Saccharomyces cerevisiae S288C: one gene and its partners. The protein of the gene in region 1 binds, or shares a complex with, the protein of each later gene. Each region holds a gene or a part of one and is shown in the gene's direction. Other genes may lie near its edges. The genes, in order: PAP1, CFT1, REF2 and SSU72.

Evidence for each region.
Region 2: PAP1 (region 1) and CFT1 share a complex: the UniProt entries of both Saccharomyces cerevisiae proteins name them as parts of the cleavage and polyadenylation factor (CPF) complex.
Region 3: PAP1 (region 1) and REF2 share a complex: the UniProt entries of both Saccharomyces cerevisiae proteins name them as parts of the cleavage and polyadenylation factor (CPF) complex.
Region 4: PAP1 (region 1) and SSU72 share a complex: the UniProt entries of both Saccharomyces cerevisiae proteins name them as parts of the cleavage and polyadenylation factor (CPF) complex.

What each region holds. Positions count from the first base shown.
Region 1 is NC_001143.9:441,124-445,438, forward strand, and holds PAP1 (polynucleotide adenylyltransferase PAP1), read left to right. Parts: upstream 1-2,108; coding exon 2,109-3,815; downstream 3,816-4,315. Other genes in the region: dynamin-like GTPase VPS1, read right to left, coding at 1-1,599; oxysterol-binding protein OSH6, read left to right, coding at 4,258-4,315. UniProt on the Saccharomyces cerevisiae protein: Polymerase component of the cleavage and polyadenylation factor (CPF) complex, which plays a key role in polyadenylation-dependent pre-mRNA 3'-end formation and cooperates with cleavage factors including the CFIA complex and NAB4/CFIB.
Region 2 is NC_001136.10:1,060,759-1,068,830, forward strand, and holds CFT1 (cleavage/polyadenylation factor CFT1), read left to right. Parts: upstream 1-2,593; coding exon 2,594-6,667; downstream 6,668-8,072. Other genes in the region: rRNA-processing protein BFR2, read left to right, coding at 1-473; PRO1 (glutamate 5-kinase), read right to left, coding at 747-2,033; mannose-ethanolamine phosphotransferase GPI11, read left to right, coding at 6,973-7,632; RSC3 (Rsc3p), read right to left, coding at 7,971-8,072. UniProt on the Saccharomyces cerevisiae protein: RNA-binding component of the cleavage and polyadenylation factor (CPF) complex, which plays a key role in polyadenylation-dependent pre-mRNA 3'-end formation and cooperates with cleavage factors including the CFIA complex and NAB4/CFIB.
Region 3 is NC_001136.10:845,110-850,700, forward strand, and holds REF2 (RNA-processing protein REF2), read left to right. Parts: upstream 1-3,489; coding exon 3,490-5,091; downstream 5,092-5,591. Other genes in the region: MSS116 (ATP-dependent RNA helicase), read right to left, coding at 843-2,837; YDR194W-A (uncharacterized protein), read left to right, coding at 2,962-3,114; CAB5 (putative dephospho-CoA kinase), read right to left, coding at 5,165-5,591. UniProt on the Saccharomyces cerevisiae protein: RNA-binding component of the cleavage and polyadenylation factor (CPF) complex, which plays a key role in polyadenylation-dependent pre-mRNA 3'-end formation and cooperates with cleavage factors including the CFIA complex and NAB4/CFIB.
Region 4 is NC_001146.8:226,479-231,291, forward strand, and holds SSU72 (RNA polymerase II subunit A C-terminal domain phosphatase), read left to right. Parts: upstream 1-2,615; coding exon 2,616-3,236; downstream 3,237-4,813. Other genes in the region: SQS1 (Sqs1p), read right to left, coding at 1-621; cysteine protease ATG4, read left to right, coding at 892-2,376; ribonuclease P/MRP protein subunit POP1, read right to left, coding at 4,590-4,813. UniProt on the Saccharomyces cerevisiae protein: Component of the cleavage and polyadenylation factor (CPF) complex, which plays a key role in polyadenylation-dependent pre-mRNA 3'-end formation and cooperates with cleavage factors including the CFIA complex and NAB4/CFIB.

The sequences.
Region 1 (4,315 bases):
GTCGGGATGGGCTGTATTGATGTAAGTTTGTTCAGCTTTGATGATATCGACAACAAACTCATTCGTAGGAATAGTAGCATCCTTTAAGAACTGAATGAACTGATTAGAAATCGCTTCTCTTAGAGCAGGATACCTTGAGTACTTTGGTTGTGAAATAATCTGTTTTAGCATACGAACAAGTTCATCAAACACCAGAGTAACTAAACGTAGAGATGGTTCTTCAAATCTTCTAATTTGCTGTTTAACTAAAACTTCAAAAGCTTCGGTACCGACAAACAAAGATGGGGCAGAACCTGAACTATTGTACATAATGGTTCTGATATCAGAATCTTTGATCTGGTCGAATGGATCCAAAGAGTCTACACCATTTTTGAAAGTTTCATGGAATACGTAAGAAATTCTAGCACCACCAGAAAGTTCCTGACTGGAAAGCTCCTTCGCCTCACCGTCCAAGATACCGGCATATTCATTGGAAAAATCAGTAATCATGCTCAAAACAACCGAACTAGCTGAATCCATAGTTTCTGGGCCCAAGTTTATAAGTTCGTTTTGATATTTTTTCAATGTGGCTTCGATTTTCGCTTTGATTTCTGGCAGAGTTTGCCTAATGTGGTGTAATAAGATTGAGTTTAACTTTTTAGCCAAATATGGTGTACCACAGTAATGAGCTTTAGAACTGTAAGAGGGATGGTTCTCAAAAAATTTTCTTTCGTTTTCAAGGGCTTCTCTGATTGTTTTTTTGTGTTCAATATCCTTTTGACCTCTATTGATAACTGGGATATAACCATATCTCAAAGGAATGACTCTTCCAGCCAAAATATCTATGACATCTGTACCTTGATCCATCAAATCGACTTTTGTCAAGACACCAATAGTTCTCGTTCCTTCTGGATCGACCTCTCTAGCCAGCTTCAAACCATCGCTGTTGGCTAAATCGGTGTTAGCGGCATTAACAGATAATATGATAGCGTTTGGTTTCGAAATATACTTTAACAACATGTCCTTAATTTGTCTTTCAATATCAGGAGGTTGGTCACCTACGGGAACCTTCGTCAACCCAGGCAAATCCACTAACGTCAAAGTAAGAACATGCGGAGAATAAATTCTCAAGTTAATGGGCACAGAAGAAATACCTGAATTGGCACCTGTCACTTTGTCAGTTTCTTTGACGATTTCCTTTCTAATTTCGTCAAAATTATAAAACTTCTTACCAGGTAAATGCAAAAATTCACCCCATTCCTCTTTATTGTCTTCAGATTGTCCCTCGTTCTGGTGCTTTCCTGATTCATCCTTTTTCTTGTCATCATCGTTGATGTTCAAGTCAATCAATTCATTAGCAGTTTGGTTTACTTTAGCATGTTCTGACTTTTTTGGTCTCCTATTAATCAATTGTAACACTAAAGGTCTCCTGGTGACAATACCAGTACCTCTTGGCAAGAAATCCCTACCAACAATGTTCTCCAAAACGGACGACTTTCCTGACGACTGGGAACCGACAACAGTGATCTGTGGTAAATCAATAGGAGATTGAGATCCTCCTCCTAAGGGCGCCAAAGCGTCCTGAAGCTTGTTAATAGTAGAAATTAAATGCTCATCCATGATATCTGATAATATAAAATGTGCAGTTTTCGTACGGTCCTTATTTTGGTGCTATAAAAGGCCTCTCTAATTCTTTTTTAGGAGTAAATAGATGAATTATCTCGGTCTGTCTTGGAAGATATGTTGTTCTCTTGATGGCAAAGCGACGCGAATCAACGGCGCCCAAGTCTTTGGGTGACCCGGCCACTTAATAATGTTTGGGGAAGAAATCAATCCATTAGAACATTGGTTTTGGAAACTAGGCCAGTCCAAGCGCACAAGTGGTTTACCCTCGAGCATTTTTCGACTATTAGAGGATTCAAGTATCTATCGAATTCTCTGAAGCTATCATACTATCCTCTGGACGATATTAGAACGATTTTTCAAGTGAAACGTTTTAGCAAAAGTTTAAAGACACTAAACTAGCTAAATAATTTCACTGTGAGCAAGTCTTTAAACGGTCTTTTTTGAATCAAAAGAGGCCTAGAATTAGCAAAATATTTAACGCATAAACTTTTTTTAGACAAATAATGAGCTCTCAAAAGGTTTTTGGTATTACTGGACCTGTTTCCACCGTGGGCGCCACAGCAGCAGAAAATAAATTAAATGATAGTTTAATCCAAGAACTGAAAAAGGAAGGATCGTTCGAAACAGAGCAAGAAACTGCCAATAGGGTACAAGTGTTGAAAATATTGCAGGAATTGGCACAAAGATTTGTTTATGAAGTATCGAAGAAGAAAAATATGTCAGACGGGATGGCAAGGGATGCTGGTGGGAAGATTTTTACGTATGGGTCCTATAGACTAGGAGTCCATGGGCCTGGTAGTGATATCGATACTTTGGTAGTTGTTCCAAAACATGTAACTCGGGAAGATTTTTTTACGGTATTTGATTCACTACTGAGAGAGAGGAAGGAACTGGATGAAATTGCACCTGTACCTGATGCGTTTGTCCCGATTATCAAGATAAAGTTCAGTGGTATTTCTATCGATTTAATCTGTGCACGTCTAGACCAACCTCAAGTGCCTTTATCCTTGACTTTATCAGATAAAAATCTACTGCGAAATCTAGACGAGAAGGACTTGAGAGCTTTGAATGGTACCAGAGTAACAGATGAGATATTAGAACTGGTACCAAAGCCGAATGTTTTCAGAATCGCTTTAAGAGCTATTAAGCTATGGGCCCAAAGAAGGGCTGTTTATGCTAATATTTTTGGTTTTCCTGGTGGTGTGGCTTGGGCCATGCTAGTGGCTAGAATTTGTCAACTATACCCTAACGCCTGTAGCGCAGTTATATTGAACAGATTTTTCATCATTTTGTCGGAATGGAATTGGCCACAACCTGTTATCTTGAAACCAATTGAGGATGGCCCGTTACAAGTTCGTGTATGGAATCCAAAGATATATGCCCAAGACAGGTCTCATAGAATGCCCGTCATTACACCAGCTTATCCATCAATGTGTGCTACCCATAACATCACGGAATCTACTAAAAAAGTCATTTTACAGGAATTCGTAAGAGGCGTTCAAATTACGAATGATATTTTTTCCAATAAGAAGTCCTGGGCCAATTTATTCGAAAAAAACGATTTTTTCTTTCGATACAAGTTCTATTTAGAAATTACTGCATATACAAGGGGCAGTGACGAGCAGCATTTAAAATGGAGTGGTCTTGTTGAAAGTAAGGTAAGGCTTCTAGTTATGAAACTGGAGGTGTTAGCTGGAATAAAAATTGCACATCCTTTCACCAAACCCTTTGAAAGTAGTTATTGTTGTCCAACCGAGGATGACTATGAAATGATTCAAGACAAATACGGTAGTCATAAAACTGAGACAGCACTGAACGCCCTTAAACTGGTAACAGATGAAAATAAAGAGGAAGAAAGTATTAAAGATGCACCAAAGGCATATTTAAGCACCATGTACATAGGCCTTGACTTTAATATTGAAAACAAAAAGGAAAAAGTTGACATTCACATTCCCTGCACTGAATTTGTGAATTTATGTCGAAGTTTCAATGAGGATTATGGTGACCACAAAGTATTCAATCTAGCCCTCCGCTTCGTAAAGGGTTACGATTTGCCAGATGAAGTTTTCGATGAAAATGAAAAGAGACCATCAAAGAAGAGTAAAAGGAAGAATTTAGATGCTAGACATGAAACCGTGAAGAGATCTAAATCAGATGCTGCTTCAGGTGACAACATCAATGGCACAACCGCAGCTGTTGACGTAAACTAAGACATTCCTATTTATAGTTGAATAGTTTATTAATATAGGTTAATCAGTCATAAACAAATTTGTACCCTTTTTTTTGAATCAAAGTACTTTTTTTACGAAGCAGTAAAACGTTTACGAGATTCTCTCTACATATGCTCTTTCGCGTGTAGCGACATTTTACCATTAGGTGAGAATTTTGTGTTACAAGCTGGATGTCAGGATGATACCTTTGAAGGCATAGTTAAATTGGCTGGGAAAGGAACGGAACCTTTTCCTTTCCGAGTTTCGGCCAGATATTTAGGCTTTTTTTTTTCTGACGGAATAGGGGACCCAGGATTGACAAATATAACAAAACAAGCTTCAACGAGACGTTTATCTCGAGAATTACGTCTGACAGTTACATGAAGTGTGAGTTCATGCAATCTGTACCTTTATTGACACAGATATACTAAAAGAAGTTACAATGGGCTCCAAAAAACTGACCGTAGGATCTGATTCGCACCGGTTGAGCAAATCCAGTT
Region 2 (8,072 bases), on another chromosome or scaffold:
ATTCGGATGATGGGCTTGATATCCCGAAAAACTATGACCCAAGAAGAAAGGATAACAATGCCATTGACATTACCGAAAACCCATATGTTTTTGATGACGAAGATTTTTACCGTGTTTTACTAAACGATTTAATTGACAAAAAGATTTCCAACGCTCACAATTCTGAAAGTGCAGCAATTACAATCACCTCAACTAATGCTCGTTCGAACAACAAGCTAAAGAAGAATATCGATACTAAGGCTTCCAAGGGTAGGAAATTGAACTACTCAGTTCAAGATCCAATTGCGAATTATGAAGCCCCCATCACATCCGGATACAAATGGTCAGACGACCAAATCGATGAATTCTTTGCGGGATTGTTAGGTCAACGAGTGAACTTTAATGAAAATGAGGATGAGGAACAACATGCCAGAATAGAAAATGACGAAGAATTAGAGGCTGTTAAAAACGATGATATCCAAATCTTTGGTTGAATATACATTTATTTTAAATACGCACAACTCATTTAATTTAGGGCTTATAAGTAGATAGAAGGATTTTAACGGATCACAAAAAGTAGCTGTTAACAACTACCTTTTTTTTGAGTTAAGAACACTAATGTGGATTAGGAAGAAACAGCTGCTCTGCACAATTCTTCAAAAAAACAAAACATGCTTAATGTGTCATTATTTAACCTGGAAATATAAAGGTAGTGTTTTATATAAGAAATATCATTAAGGGAATCCTCTATAACTTTTTAGTTCGTTTCAACGAGGTGGGAATGCCAAATTTTCTCTATGAGCGACATATTCGCTGTCATTATAGCCCAATTCCTCTTCGATTTGGTCACTGTGCAAACCTTTAATTTTAGTTAATTCAGAACTCGTGTAATTGCATCTTGCCTTGCCTACTGTTTGCAAGGGAAAATCTGGATCTAACGTGCCATCTGGTAACTTTTTACCAACTTTTATGTCAACACATTCTAACTCATGGAAAGTGCCCTGAACATCAATAACACCTGCTGGCAATAATCCCGCCTTATTTTTCCTTGTTAAGGCTGCGTACGCACCTTGGTCTATAACAACAGCGCCTTTAGAGACAAGACCGTGTAAAATCCAAAACTCTCTATTCTTTAGATGGTGTTTATTATCATTAGCAATGAACTTCGTATGTAGTGGAACGTTAAGAGCCTTTAATTTCTCAAATTCTCTTTTTTGCAAATCCGTTAAATCGCCATTATATGCTTGTTTAACTTTATTTTCATCGTCAAGTTCTAGAGTTTGCATATACTCGACAATTCTACCTATATTCGCAGGTGTATCGCTTTTCATGATCAACGTATGAACACCGGCATTCGTTGCCAAATCTGCAGCAACCAATTTAGTTTCCATACCACCGGTCCCAACGTCAGAACCTGAACCACCAGCAGTATTCACACCGGGCAAACCCTTTGAGAGATCTGGGACAACTAAGATCGGCATGGCATCTGGGTTTGTCCTTGGATTATCAGTATACAAACAGTCAACATCTGTCAGTAAGAAAAGATAATCTGCATGGATTAAAGCAGAAGTAATTGCTGATAAAGTGTCATTGTCACCAAATTTGATTTCTCTAACAGATAGTGTGTCGTTTTCATTCACAATGGGAATAACGCCCATGTTCAACAATTCATTAATTGTGTTTTGAGCGTTCTTATATTGGGTCCAGTCCAGAATATCATTTCTGGTCAATAGAATTTGAGCGATACGTTGATCAAATTGCGAAAACAGAAGATCCCATCTCCCGATCAATCTACCCTGCCCAATAGCTGCGATGGCCTGAACTTCTGCTAAATGTTTTGGTCTTTTATTCATACGCATAGTCCTCAAACCAACAGCAATACCACCACTGGACACGATGATAACTTTGTGTCCCATTCTTCTCAATTTGACTACAGTTTCGACAATAAGCGACATGATAGCTAACTTAGGTTCTTTGGTTTTTTCATCTACTAGCGATGAAGAGCCTAATTTGATCACTATAGTATACGATTTACTCTCATTAGCATCCTTCATTTTCGCGTTCTTATGACTATATTACAGTAGCTGATAAAATGACCTAAACTATGCCTATCTTTGAAGCAACTAGACATTAATCTTGAAAGACCGTTTTGATGGATGAATAATTCATCGAGAAAGCATTAGTTCGCTGATGTAATTTTTCATTTCCTGCCATCATGCGATGTGTGGGTGCTATTTATTTTCAATTCCTTTACCAAGGTACCTGATAGTGTCATAAATAAATAAATTTAGACCAAAATGTAACCATTGATAAGTGAGAGTCTTAAATTTAACATGTTCATACTTTAACTGGTGCTCAACCGATATATTATGATTCACTGTGCCACTGACCAGCCCTATTAGTGACATTTTGTGCTTCCTCATCCCGTCGGCTCCCAATAAGACAACGTAGTAAGTGATCTTAATATAAGGTAAGTTCGAGGTGACATATTTCACAGAGCAGCGTTAAAGCAATCATATGTAAATTGAGGAAGATCACCGTCCCTTGAACACTTCACTGATTAAAACTATCAGGTACTAACCTAGATTCGCTTTTTACTCTAGCTACTGGCCCTATGAATGTATATGATGATGTGCTTGACGCTACTGTTGTGTCTCATTCATTAGCAACACATTTTACTACTTCAGATTATGAGGAGCTCTTAGTGGTGCGAACAAATATCCTTTCTGTCTACAGGCCTACTAGGGATGGTAAACTGTATTTGACTGATGAGTTTAAGTTTCATGGCTTGATCACCGATATAGGCCTCATTCCCCAAAAAGACAGTCCGTTAAGTTGCCTGCTTTTATGCACAGGCGTCGCTAAAATCTCTATTTTAAAGTTCAACACGCTAACAAACTCAATCGATACCCTAAGCCTGCATTACTACGAAGGAAAGTTCAAGGGTAAATCGTTGGTAGAGCTGGCCAAAATTTCCACCTTGAGAATGGATCCTGGAAGTTCTTGTGCCTTACTGTTCAATAATGACATTATCGCTTTTCTACCCTTCCATGTCAATAAAAATGACGACGATGAGGAGGAAGAAGATGAGGACGAGAACATAGACGATAGTGAATTAATCCATAGCATGAATCAAAAATCCCAAGGGACGAATACTTTCAATAAGAGGAAGAGAACCAAGTTAGGTGACAAGTTCACGGCTCCAAGCGTGGTATTGGTAGCGAGTGAGTTGTACGAAGGCGCCAAAAATATCATAGATATTCAGTTCTTGAAAAATTTTACTAAACCAACGATAGCGCTCTTATACCAACCAAAGCTTGTTTGGGCAGGAAACACCACCATTTCAAAACTCCCTACACAATACGTTATACTCACATTAAATATCCAGCCTGCAGAAAGTGCCACCAAGATTGAATCAACCACAATAGCATTTGTCAAGGAACTGCCTTGGGATCTACACACCATTGTACCTGTTTCGAATGGTGCTATCATTGTGGGAACCAATGAACTGGCATTTCTAGATAATACTGGCGTTTTACAATCGACAGTATTATTAAACTCATTTGCTGATAAAGAGTTACAGAAAACAAAAATTATCAACAATTCTTCATTGGAAATTATGTTCAGGGAGAAAAACACTACGTCAATTTGGATACCTTCGTCCAAGAGCAAAAACGGAGGAAGTAATAATGACGAAACACTACTACTTATGGACTTGAAATCCAATATATACTATATCCAAATGGAAGCAGAGGGCAGGTTACTGATTAAATTCGATATTTTCAAGCTACCTATAGTCAATGATCTTTTGAAGGAGAACTCCAATCCAAAATGTATAACACGTTTGAATGCCACCAATTCAAACAAAAATATGGACTTATTTATTGGGTTTGGTTCAGGAAATGCTTTGGTTCTCAGATTGAATAATTTGAAATCTACCATTGAAACAAGAGAAGCACACAATCCATCTTCAGGTACAAATAGTTTGATGGATATCAATGACGACGATGATGAGGAAATGGACGATTTATACGCCGATGAAGCTCCTGAAAATGGACTAACAACTAATGATTCCAAAGGCACTGTGGAAACTGTTCAACCTTTCGATATCGAACTGTTATCATCTCTAAGGAATGTTGGTCCCATCACATCGTTAACTGTAGGTAAGGTATCTTCCATTGATGATGTGGTAAAAGGACTACCAAATCCAAACAAAAACGAGTATTCGCTAGTTGCCACATCGGGAAATGGTTCAGGTTCTCATTTGACCGTCATACAGACTAGTGTTCAACCGGAAATTGAATTAGCATTGAAATTTATCAGTATAACACAAATCTGGAATCTGAAGATCAAAGGAAGAGATAGGTACTTAATAACTACTGATTCCACAAAATCCCGGAGTGACATATATGAAAGTGACAATAACTTCAAACTTCATAAGGGCGGCCGTTTAAGAAGAGATGCTACTACAGTTTACATTTCAATGTTTGGTGAAGAAAAAAGAATAATACAAGTCACCACCAATCACTTATATTTATATGATACACATTTTAGACGTCTCACCACAATTAAATTTGACTACGAAGTTATTCATGTTTCCGTCATGGATCCGTATATACTAGTTACCGTATCAAGGGGTGATATTAAGATATTTGAATTGGAGGAAAAGAATAAAAGAAAATTGTTAAAAGTTGATTTGCCAGAAATTTTGAATGAAATGGTTATTACATCTGGTTTGATTTTGAAAAGCAATATGTGTAATGAATTTTTGATTGGGTTGAGTAAGTCTCAAGAAGAACAGTTATTGTTTACATTTGTTACTGCAGATAACCAAATTATCTTTTTTACTAAAGACCATAATGACAGAATCTTTCAACTAAATGGTGTTGACCAATTAAATGAATCTTTATACATTAGCACTTATCAACTGGGCGATGAGATCGTCCCTGATCCATCGATTAAACAAGTAATGATAAACAAACTGGGCCATGACAATAAAGAAGAATACCTGACAATATTAACCTTCGGAGGAGAGATTTACCAATATAGAAAATTACCACAAAGACGTAGTAGATTTTATAGAAACGTTACAAGAAATGATCTAGCTATTACTGGTGCTCCTGACAATGCATACGCCAAGGGTGTTAGTTCCATCGAAAGAATCATGCATTACTTTCCCGATTACAACGGTTATTCGGTAATATTTGTAACCGGTAGCGTTCCATACATATTAATAAAAGAAGATGATTCCACACCGAAGATTTTCAAATTCGGAAACATACCATTGGTTTCAGTCACTCCCTGGAGCGAGCGTTCAGTCATGTGTGTAGATGATATTAAAAACGCCAGAGTTTACACACTAACTACTGACAATATGTACTATGGTAACAAATTACCATTGAAACAGATAAAGATCAGCAATGTGCTTGATGACTACAAAACTCTGCAAAAACTAGTCTATCATGAAAGGGCTCAATTGTTTCTTGTATCTTATTGCAAGCGGGTTCCTTACGAAGCATTAGGAGAAGATGGCGAAAAAGTAATTGGTTATGACGAGAATGTTCCTCATGCGGAAGGATTTCAAAGTGGAATTTTACTCATTAATCCAAAAAGTTGGAAGGTCATTGATAAAATCGACTTTCCAAAGAATTCTGTCGTCAATGAAATGAGATCCTCTATGATTCAAATTAATTCAAAAACTAAGAGGAAAAGAGAATACATTATAGCCGGTGTTGCCAATGCCACCACTGAAGACACTCCACCAACTGGCGCTTTCCATATTTATGATGTGATAGAAGTTGTTCCCGAACCTGGTAAACCTGATACCAATTATAAGCTCAAGGAAATTTTTCAAGAAGAGGTCAGTGGTACTGTATCTACTGTTTGTGAGGTTAGTGGAAGATTCATGATTAGTCAAAGCCAAAAAGTTCTAGTAAGAGATATCCAAGAAGATAATTCCGTCATACCAGTGGCATTTTTGGATATTCCTGTTTTCGTTACGGATTCTAAAAGCTTTGGTAATCTTTTGATAATTGGTGACGCTATGCAGGGGTTCCAATTTATTGGTTTTGACGCAGAACCATACAGGATGATTTCATTGGGCAGAAGTATGTCGAAATTTCAAACAATGTCGCTAGAGTTTTTAGTGAACGGAGGGGATATGTATTTTGCGGCAACAGATGCTGACAGAAATGTTCATGTTTTAAAATATGCGCCAGATGAACCCAACTCTCTTTCGGGTCAACGTTTAGTCCACTGCTCCAGTTTCACGTTGCATTCCACCAATAGTTGTATGATGCTTTTACCAAGAAACGAGGAATTTGGCTCTCCTCAAGTGCCATCGTTTCAAAACGTTGGTGGCCAAGTGGATGGGTCAGTCTTCAAGATAGTTCCTTTAAGTGAGGAAAAATACAGAAGACTTTATGTGATTCAACAACAAATCATCGATCGAGAATTACAGCTAGGTGGTTTAAACCCTCGCATGGAAAGATTGGCCAACGACTTTTATCAGATGGGTCACTCTATGAGGCCTATGCTTGATTTCAACGTTATACGGAGGTTCTGTGGATTAGCTATTGATAGACGGAAAAGCATTGCGCAGAAAGCAGGAAGACATGCGCATTTTGAAGCATGGAGAGATATCATAAATATTGAATTTTCAATGAGATCTTTATGCCAGGGTAAGTGAACAATACATATAAAGGATATTTAATGCTAACTAGCCCGATATATACATCTATCTATCACTAGGCATTCGAGTAGTGAATAAGAACCACTACTTGAAACACTAGATTTGTAACAATAACGCATGTATCATCGTACATTTTCGGAACTATTTACGTAACGCGGGGATGAGGAAAAAGTTACTTTTTGCACAGCAAAAAAAACAAATAAAGAACAGTTAGTGAAATAAAGCAAAAGTGCAAACGGTGCCTTTAATCAAAGACTTTGCAGGAACATAAACAAGTGCACTAAAGAAGGTCCAATTTAAATATGCCAGCTAAAAAAAGGACTAGAAAGACAGTGAAAAAAACCGTATCATTCTCCGATGACACAACATTAACAACGCACCAAAATCGTGAGAAAAAGAACGTAGATCATGATCGTCCACCTGTGTATGTGAGGAAAACCCCTCTGATGACATTTCCATACCATTTAGTAGCACTACTTTATTACTACGTTTTTGTATCTTCAAATTTCAATACGGTGAAGTTGCTAAGTTTTTTGATTCCTACACAAGTTGCTTATTTAGTTTTACAATTCAATAAATGCACAGTTTACGGTAACAAAATCATTAAGATCAATTACTCATTGACCATTATTTGTCTAGGTGTTACATTTTTGTTGAGCTTTCCCACAATGTTATTAACTATATTATTTGGTGCGCCATTAATGGACTTATTGTGGGAAACCTGGCTGTTGTCACTGCATTTTGCATTTTTAGCATACCCTGCAGTTTATTCTGTATTTAATTGTGATTTCAAAGTGGGATTATGGAAGAAGTATTTTATCTTTATCGTTGTAGGGGGTTGGATTAGTTGTGTTGTCATTCCTTTGGATTGGGATAGAGATTGGCAGAATTGGCCAATTCCTATTGTTGTTGGAGGTTATTTGGGCGCTTTGGTGGGCTATACTATCGGTGCCTATATATAATATCGGTAATTTAAAAATTTGTATATAAAAAAATATAAGTATGATAGAGGTAACATAAACTGGTCCTATGCACAATTGAAAAATCTATGACAAAAACTAAATGATCTTTATACCAAACCCACCTATATGCTATTTGTACCATCTTAAAAGAAGGTAATAACTTCCATACAGATAAATAGCTAACAACATTAAATATCTCCCACTCTCCTCATTCTTTTCTTTTCATAATTTCCTTTTTCTGATTTATTCATTCTATATAAAAAAATAATACAAATCCTCAGATTAAATAATAAATACTATAAAAGTCTCAACTTCTTCTTTAATTTGTTTGAGTCGCTTTAGCTACGAATAGCCTCAAAAACTTCGTTGAAATTCTCCTTTGTTAAACCGAAAGTATCCGAATTTGCGTCGCTATCAACAGGAGCTGCTGCGCCTAAAAC
Region 3 (5,591 bases), on another chromosome or scaffold:
GTGGTTTAGGTTTCATGTCTTGTCCTCTCGCGAATACTTTTATTTCGAAGCTAATTTACTATATAAAGAAGGTTGAAATCGCATGATAAGCTAAACAGCGTAAATAGAATTGCCGGAGCAAAATTCGTATAAGACATAATTTCCCTCCAGGCCGTAGCCAGATTAATGCTCAGTACACTGTAAAGAATTTTTTGTTTATTTTTAAGATAAGACAAGATGTCATTGATATTATTGCTAGATCACTAACAAATGGTATTTATTGATTTTTCTTTCGCAGAGCGGCACTTTAACTAGGATTTAATCATAAAAAAAAAAGTGATTGACACTGTTATTCAGTTCTGGACTATCGTATAGACTATTTTCATTGTTAATAGGCTCAGCTGTTCATAAAATATGTGAAAATTTTTCAACGATTACCAAGCCCACGATTGTCTCGTTGGCAATATTCAGAATGAAGTTTTCGTAATATGGCTATGTCCGTGATCAATCGCCTAAGACACCCTGACTTTTCAAGTAAATTCTCAAAAGCTTTCTTCCATCCGTTTAAATAAGAATTACAATGTTAGAATTACTTTTCCTTTGAGAGGAGGAAGAGCGAAAGTAAGAATGGAGGTACCGGTCGTAAATAAGCATTGACGAATAAATATACCAGTAGGATCTTCGTATAGTTATCATTTTAAGAGAATAGGAGAAGAAAAAAAATTTTTGTTTAATATTTATATACTAGGTATTTACACGTGAAAGTATTGAATCAAGATGGGGTCTAAAATACAGGCGTCTTAATAGAGGAATTGTTATTTAAAATACAACCCACATCTCTTGGTCCTCCTTTTTTATCTTTTCTAATATATGTTGCTGTTTCTACTGGAGTAATTATTTTTATCATTACTACGGGAGAATGAGCGTCTATTGTTGTTGCTGCGTCTAAACGGTTCGTCATCGTAATCTCTATTTTGGCTCCTATTATTATAGTTTTTGTTGCCTCTGAAAGAAATTTCTGAATCATCATCATAATCGTAGGACTTGTTATTTCCATCTCTACTACTATAGTCTCTAATTTCAAACATTGCCTTACCAATTGGACTACGGCTCAAACCTAATTTATCTAAAAACCTTCTGGATACTGGAATCTTTAATTGAGGATCATTTAACAGTACACCATAAGTGGAAGCAATTTCAGGAAGTATGCGCCTTTCAGAAAACCTGTATTCCTTGATACAGGATCTGTAGGATGAGATTAAACTTATTACAATATCTGATATGTCTTCCGGTTCTTCGGTCACTGCCTCTAGGACCTCAGATTTTATTTCTTCACTGGGCTCATATTTTTCTTGTTTGGCAATGACTATATTTTTTGCATCTTCCAACTCTCTAACAAATGGCAATTCATCTTTACAAATGAATAGCACAGAAGATCCTTCTTTCCCACTTCTGGCTGTTCTACCAATTCTATGAATATAATTAGCCAACTCAGATGGAACACCAATTTGCAAAACTTCGTGGACGTTTGGGAAATCCATACCACGGGCTCCCACATCCGTACAAACCAAAATACCGGATTCATCTTTTTTGAATCTTTTAACTAAACTTGTTCTTTTATTTTGAGTAATTTTACCATGAAATTCCAAAATTGGTAAATCTTTCTTAAATTCATTCTTTAAAATACTGCACAAAAAGGATGTGAATTTAACAGTTGGTGCAAAAATAATGGCTTTGTAATTAGAATCTCTTTCCTTTATTTGTTTCTTTATATGCTCCACAGCAGCAAATATACTATTGGCAAACTTTTCTGAAATGACGACAGACTGATCAATTCTTTCATGTGCTTCAGGTTCATTCTTATCTACTGTGTCTAAAAAGAGACATTCTTTTTTATTCATGATATTGTTTGCCAACTTTTGTACTTTGTCGTCCAGAGTAGCAGAGAACAACAAAGTCTTGATATTATCGGCTGATTTGGAGTTCTTTTCATTTAAAATACCAGAAATAGTTTCTAAATCATCCCTGAATCCAATTTCTAGCAATCTGTCAGCTTCATCTAGCACTTTGTAATCTACGAACCTAAAAAATTTGTTGGAGTATTTTTCCAAAACATCAATCAATCTCCCTGGAGTGGCAATTACAATGTTTGGTCTCAACTTATTCATTTTATTCATAGCTGCCCTGAAGTCAGTACCACCAACTAAAGAGACACAAGCGTACTTTTTCAAGCCATAATTCATATCGTGGATTTTTTTCACCTCTGCTTCGATTTGCAAGGCCAAATCTCTTGTTGGTGCGACAATAACAGCTTTTACCATATATTGAGAATCGAACTTCGTATTTATCAAATGCTGGAAAATTGGAATCAAGAAGGCAAATGTCTTACCTGTACCGGTTTTAGCTCTTGCGATAACATCATGGTCTTCACTGGATAATATTGGTTTGATAGTCTTTTGCTGTACAGGAGTTAAACCGGGAAATTCCATCCTGGTAATGGCTTTATGTATTTCTTTATCAAGGACTCCTTCCTCCAGTAAAGAGTCCAGCGTTACTTCTTTACTATTATCTTCTTTTGGGACGTGAATTAGTTTGGAAAAAGTGGTCTTATCAAAGTGCACTTCATCATCGTCTTCTCTAGACCTTGTCCTTGGGCGAGAATTGAAACGGGAGTTTCTATACCTGTTACTGTTGTTGTTTCTCTGATTCCTACCAAAATTTCTTTGATCTCTGTTTCCATCATTGTATAATCTTCTTGAAACAGCCCAAGTAATATGGTTGCAATTCGAGAGAGCTGCTAATAAATTTCTGCTTGCAAGAACAGGTGTGCGACCTTTTATCAATATAGAGGTCAACATTTATCAGCCTAACGTGCAACTCTGGTATTTTCTTGCCACTCTGAGACACCATAGTGGCCATCAATACTTCCCTTCTTTTTATAGGAAAATTTTATTCTTTCTATAATATCACTACAGACGGAGAATGAAACAGATGATGATTGAAGCATCCATAAGTAAAGACACTTTGAGGTTGCTAATTTGCTTTTTTGAAATAAAACAGTGCCATATATCACTCCAGCCTACTTGTTATTATCAGAATTGGGTACGGTATTCATCTATATATTACCAGTTGTAAATCACGATATATCACGATACACGACTCTCCGGCGCCAGCGTTTTTCGTCAGTTTTTCTCAAGGCGGTATAAAAAATCGATGATATTCGATTGAGGCACTTGTTAACAAGCATACACTGTTGGAGGCAGAACAAAACAAGCATAACTCTTTTGTACTGTATTGTACTCTACCGCTCTGTATCACGTCGGCACACCAACGGTTTCTTTTGGCGGGTCTATTATATATATTATATATACTTTTATCAAGACATCGTGTGAGTAAGTGAGGTTAAAGCTCAAAAACCTACAAGCAAAGGCACAAGGAAATCGAAAGGACCAAGAAAGGAAAAGAAAAGAAACGATACGATAAGTAAAGACACTGTGGAAGAATTGAACAATGTCAGCACCTGTTCCTCAATTAGTAAATATTTCTCATGCCTTGCAAGCTTCCACTATCCAGCAAATTCGTTTGGATATGGTAGATTTTAATAAAGATTGCAAATTATCTTCCATTCAACTGGCAAGAATTGACAAGTATATCGATTCTTTGCAAGCGGCTTTGAATCAGTTTACCAAAGATAACTTGCACATAGAACGGAAGGAAAAGAACGTGACTGAAGCAGATATACAGCTGTATTCTGGCTTAAAATCAATGTATCTAGATTATTTGAACCAGCTAATTAAACTAAAGCATGAGAAACAACACCACTCTACACCGCCCATCGCTAATGATGTCTCCCTGGACTTCTTCGTTAACCAATTGCCTAAGTTTTCTCCCGAGGAAAGGAAAAATTACATTGACAATTTAATCCTGAATAAAAATAGCCATAATCGATTATCTAAAATGGATGGTCTGGTAGATGCAGTCATCAATTTATGCGTCTTGGATACTTCCGTTGCTGAAAATGTACGATCCTATATGAAATTATTAGATACATTGGGTTTCCAAAAGGGTTCGAATAGTACTGGTACAAAGGCCAACCTCAAAAAGAAATTGGCTAGTTCGAAAGCAAAGATAAAGGATTCAGAAAAAGAAAAGGAGAAGGAGAAGGATAAATCAAAAGTCAAGATGAAAACTAAATTAAAACCTTCTCCTTTGCTCAATAACGATGACAAAAATTCTTCTCCATCGCCTACTGCATCTACCTCTTCAATGAAGAAATTGAAGTCGGGTTTATTCAATAAAAATGAAGCTAAGTCTACAGAATCTCTACCTACTTCTTCCAAGAAAAAACTATCATTTTCTAAATATCTGAACAAGGATGACGCAGATATGACCAAGCTTGGGACTAAACGGTCAATAGATGTGGATTTCAAAGTCAACCCCGAAGCATCCACGGTGGCTTCTAATATCATATCTTCGTCAACGTCAGGATCGTCAACCACAACGGTAGCGACTCCTGCTTCTTCAGAAGAGCCCTTAAAAAAAAAAACCAAAATATCCGTGCAAGACTCTAATGTACAATCGATTTTGAGAAATGGTAAACCGAAAAAAGCACGCATAAGTAGCATCAAATTTTTGGATGATTCCCAACTAATAAAAGTTTACGGTGACGATCTACCGAACCAAGGGCTACAAGTTTCTCCTACTCAATTGAAAAAAATTCTGAAACCATTCAAGGAGGGGGAACCGAAGGAAATTATATTGTTCGAGGATATGTCAATCAAATTAAAACCTCTTGATTTGATGTTTCTGAAGAACACAAACAGTGATGACTATATGGATATATCCGAGACTAAAGGTGGCCCAATACATTGTGAAACAAGGACCCCGTTGATCTATAGAAAAAATTTCAATCATTTCAACCCGGACTTGAATAAAAGGCCGCCAAGAGAACCCATAGAATTCGACTTAAATGGAAATACGAACTCAACCCCGACTATAGCAAAGGCTTTCGGTAAAAATAGTTTATTACTAAGGAAGGACAGAGGTGGTTTGCCATACAAGCATGTCCCCATAGTAAAAAGAAATAAATATCCTCCAAGACCAGTACACTAAGCTATGACATGCTGATACATAAACATGTAGTATATATACTCATTTTATATAATGTAATTATAAGATATCAACCTTATACCGCTGAAGACTTTTTATTTTGAAGTTTTTTCATCAGTAATCTGGACATGACGATGCTACTGGCACTTACGGCCCCAAAAGGTGGGAAATACTCCAAAACAGTTCTTAATTTACTAGGTTGGATTTTTTTTACAACACTTTCAATCTGTTCGTATAAGTCAACCAATGTGCTGTTATTTTGTAGGATATAGTCAGATCTTGCCATCCTTTCTTCAGTGCTCATTTGACTATTTAGCCTGTTTTTTGCATCTTCTTCACTAAGTTCAGGATTTCTTGTCATTAATCTTTCTAGTTGCAATTCTTGCGTACAAATTACGCTTACAGTCACTCCGCATATTGAATCCAGATTTCCTTCAAATAAGAGTGGCACATCCAATACACACATTCTATATCCCTTCAAGTAATAGTAGCCAATTTCTTTG
Region 4 (4,813 bases), on another chromosome or scaffold:
CAGGTCACCATCTTCAACTTTGCTTTCATTCGAAGACAGCGAGTGGTCCGTCGAGGGTGAATTCTGACTATCATCATCCTCGTTTTCACTGTCTTCATTGTTAATATATTCAACATCAGAAGTCATCTTTCCTGGTTCTTCAAAAACGTCTGCTTCCCTTTCGACAATTTCTTCACTGTTCTTTGTTTCGTTCTTTGCTCTCAGTTTTTGAATCATATTGTGGGATGGATCGTAAACTTCCTTAGCTTTTACAAATTGCATAGGTCTTTTGCGGAATGCTGCCCTTCCTGCTTGTAGGTCAGTTGAAGAATCATATCGATTACCTGGTCTTAAACCACCCATTTTCATAGAACGGCTCTTGGCATCGCGACCAAAATAATAGTCTTCTATAGTTTTTGGTGATATGAATGCTCTTCCTGGGTTGAAGTCGGCGCCTACATCATCAAGATCACCTTCTCCTAGTGGTATAGAAGAGTTATGCCAACTGTTAGTGGGAGTAGGTTTTTTCTTTATCTTTCTGCCTTGTATGCCTTTAGCATTCCCCCTGCCAGCTTTCTTGGAATTGCTACCACGTGCATGCCTACGTCTGCTTCCTTGATAATGACTATGCCTTTTTGCCATTTTTTTTGACGGTTACAACAATTTATGCTTATATTTGACTCTGCGATTAAATCACTTCTTCCTTCTAGAAACTCTGCGCAGGCCTAATTGTTGTTGTTTTGTTCAGATCTTATTTAATTGTAAAATGTCAAATTTCACTTTTATTCTTTAGGCGGTGACCGTTGCAGCTGCCAACAATAGCGCCTCAAAGGAAAAAAGTAAAAATATACACACAATAACGTTAGTAGATGAAGAATGGACGACTTCTTATCACGTATAGGAGTGATATACATGCAGAGGTGGCTACAACTGTGGAAAATGGATTTGGTACAAAAAGTGTCTCATGGCGTTTTTGAAGGCTCGTCCGAAGAACCGGCTGCTCTTATGAATCATGATTATATAGTATTAGGGGAAGTATATCCTGAGCGAGACGAAGAATCTGGCGCTGAACAATGTGAACAAGACTGTCGATATCGCGGTGAAGCGGTTAGTGACGGGTTTTTAAGCTCTCTTTTTGGTAGGGAAATTTCTTCTTACACAAAGGAATTTCTTTTGGATGTACAATCAAGGGTCAACTTTACATATCGGACAAGATTTGTTCCTATAGCAAGGGCGCCAGATGGGCCTTCACCTTTAAGTCTAAATTTATTAGTACGTACAAATCCGATCAGTACAATAGAGGACTATATAGCAAATCCTGATTGCTTTAACACTGATATTGGGTGGGGGTGTATGATAAGGACAGGACAAAGTTTGTTGGGGAATGCCTTACAAATCCTTCATTTGGGCAGAGATTTCAGGGTAAATGGTAACGAAAGTCTGGAAAGAGAATCAAAATTTGTAAATTGGTTTAATGACACGCCTGAGGCTCCATTTTCGTTACATAACTTTGTTTCTGCAGGTACAGAACTCTCTGATAAAAGACCAGGTGAATGGTTTGGTCCCGCAGCTACGGCAAGGAGTATACAATCTTTAATATATGGCTTCCCCGAATGTGGCATCGATGATTGTATAGTATCTGTTTCATCCGGCGATATCTATGAAAATGAAGTTGAAAAAGTATTTGCTGAGAATCCAAATAGTAGAATATTGTTCTTGTTGGGCGTGAAGCTCGGGATTAATGCGGTAAATGAGAGCTATAGAGAAAGTATATGTGGTATCTTAAGTTCAACACAGTCAGTAGGCATTGCCGGCGGTAGGCCGTCTTCATCGTTGTATTTTTTTGGTTATCAAGGAAATGAATTTTTACATTTCGATCCTCATATTCCTCAACCGGCAGTAGAAGATTCATTTGTAGAGTCGTGCCATACCAGTAAATTTGGTAAATTGCAACTATCGGAAATGGATCCCTCGATGCTCATTGGTATTTTGATTAAGGGCGAAAAAGACTGGCAACAATGGAAGCTAGAAGTTGCAGAATCTGCTATTATCAATGTTCTTGCTAAGAGAATGGATGACTTTGATGTGAGTTGTAGTATGGATGACGTGGAAAGTGTAAGTTCTAACTCAATGAAGAAAGATGCAAGCAATAATGAAAATCTCGGAGTACTAGAGGGAGACTACGTAGATATTGGTGCAATATTCCCACACACAACAAATACAGAAGATGTAGACGAATATGATTGTTTTCAAGATATTCATTGCAAGAAACAGAAGATTGTTGTTATGGGAAACACACACACTGTTAATGCGAATTTAACAGATTATGAAGTAGAAGGCGTCCTTGTAGAGAAGGAAACGGTAGGTATTCACAGTCCTATTGATGAAAAATGCTAGTGTAAGGAATTCACTAGTTCATAAGCATATATACTTGTTTTAATATATTCCCTAAAACTGAGGTATCCAGTTCTTTTGTTCTTATTCGTTTGATCATCCTTTACGTATTTTTCGTCTGCGGCAGTGGAAAGAACTTAAAAAACGAAAGATAATAAAGAAAAAGGCCAGTCGGCACGAATTAAAGACCACCTGTAAGAAGATTAAGACAACGGTGGTATAAACTAGTGTCGAAGTCCAAAATGCCTAGTCATCGCAATTCAAACTTGAAGTTTTGCACAGTTTGTGCATCAAACAACAATCGTTCAATGGAATCGCATAAAGTCCTGCAAGAAGCAGGCTATAATGTTAGCTCTTACGGAACAGGTTCAGCTGTGAGACTGCCTGGTCTATCGATAGATAAGCCTAATGTGTACTCATTTGGTACACCCTATAATGATATATATAATGATCTTTTATCACAATCAGCAGACCGTTACAAGTCGAACGGTTTATTGCAAATGCTGGATCGTAATAGAAGACTCAAAAAAGCACCTGAAAAATGGCAAGAAAGTACAAAAGTCTTCGACTTCGTTTTCACTTGTGAAGAGAGATGTTTTGATGCCGTTTGTGAAGATTTGATGAATAGAGGTGGGAAATTAAACAAAATAGTGCATGTAATTAATGTTGACATTAAAGATGATGATGAAAATGCTAAAATTGGTAGCAAAGCTATATTGGAATTAGCTGATATGCTCAATGATAAAATAGAACAATGTGAAAAAGATGACATTCCCTTTGAAGATTGTATAATGGACATTTTAACTGAGTGGCAAAGCTCACATTCTCAACTACCGTCATTATACGCTCCTTCATATTACTAAACAAAACGGTCAATTACTGTAGAAAAGCATAAGCATTAAGCGGCCCTCATGAATCCTACATTATCCGTGAAATTTCAATACTTTCACAAGTCTTCGATAGCTTCCTAGTTATATTCATTATATAATATTACGTTTCTTGTTGCGGCTCTCTTAAGCACATTATTTGCTTGTTGTCCACATAGCTATTTTTTTATCAAGAAGCTTGATATACAACACACTGTATTTTTAGTAAGCTGGACAATGTCTTGTCTCAATGTAGCGTATAACAGGTTTCATTCCAAAACACATCACCAGATATAGGACTGAAATGAAGAAAATAGAAGCATGAAACTTTAAAAGTTTCAGTACTTTAAGAAAGAAATAAATAGAAAAATGTTCCATTTATTTCTGAAAATAAATCAAAAATTATAAGATCCACCCGTTCCTACCAAGACCTTCCAAAATTTTTCCCATAACGGGAACGAGCAAAGTTGAGACTGCTCAAAAGAGCACATCTTCAAACTACAATCCCGACCAAATAATCTCAACAGCCATACCTTCATCATAAACTTAAGTTCATTCGAATCTGCCGTCAAAAACTAAAATGGCACGCTAGAGAAAAGTAGTCAAAAAGAATGCCTCTACAAAGCTCTCTTTTGAAAGGCCCCAGCTCCCCTAACACCAATTTGAATTTGGTGTCAAACTTCTCCAGGCAGAAGAAACAAAGGGCCCCAAAAATCAGTTTAACCCAAAAATCCCCAAAGGAATCAAGGGATTAACCAATGATTGAAACAAGGGAATGGAAACGTCAGCAAACACGCCTTCCGCGCCGTATGTGTGTGTGACCAAGGAGTTTGCATCAATGACTTCAATGAACAATTATAGTTCAATGATAAATGCTTAACGTCCTTCTACTATTGGAAGCGCATGTTTGATCAGTAGGACTTCTTGATCTCCTCTGATATCTTAAGGTAAGTATGAGGATTTTAAAAAAATTCAAGAAAAAACTATATTTTAACGCTAAAAGTATGTTTGTAAAATAGTTCTATTAAATGGAACTTCTTCTCTCTATTTATACGTCTTGCCAATGGAAAACTCGTCGCCTTAGAAAAAAAAAAGGTGCAAAGACGGGTAATAATTTCATTGACATTTTCAAGAGCTAGGGAATGAATCAATGAGCCCTATGATGGCAGCGTAGATCACCGTATTTAAATTAACATATAATAAGATTTGTTGCCACTTTCAATCTCTAAATGTGTACGTATAGAGTTCCAGGAAGCAAAAAGACCATTATTGCGCGATATGATTGCTATTTGCCCTCTGTATACATAGCTTTATAGGATATCGGTCGTACATATAATTCAGTTCAGTTCATTATACGGATATTTTCGACCACTCCCCCAACCTATAAGTGTTGGTACCTACATTTCTGATCAGTACATACCTAGTTGGTTGCCGGATGGCCGCATGATGATCTATAAATCCGATTCCCATACCATTTCCACAATTTAAGTGGTAGGTGCCGCTGGTAATAAAACCAATCAAATCATGTACCTCTGGAAGTGGAATTTTCAAATCATGATCTTTTCTTCCGTTTG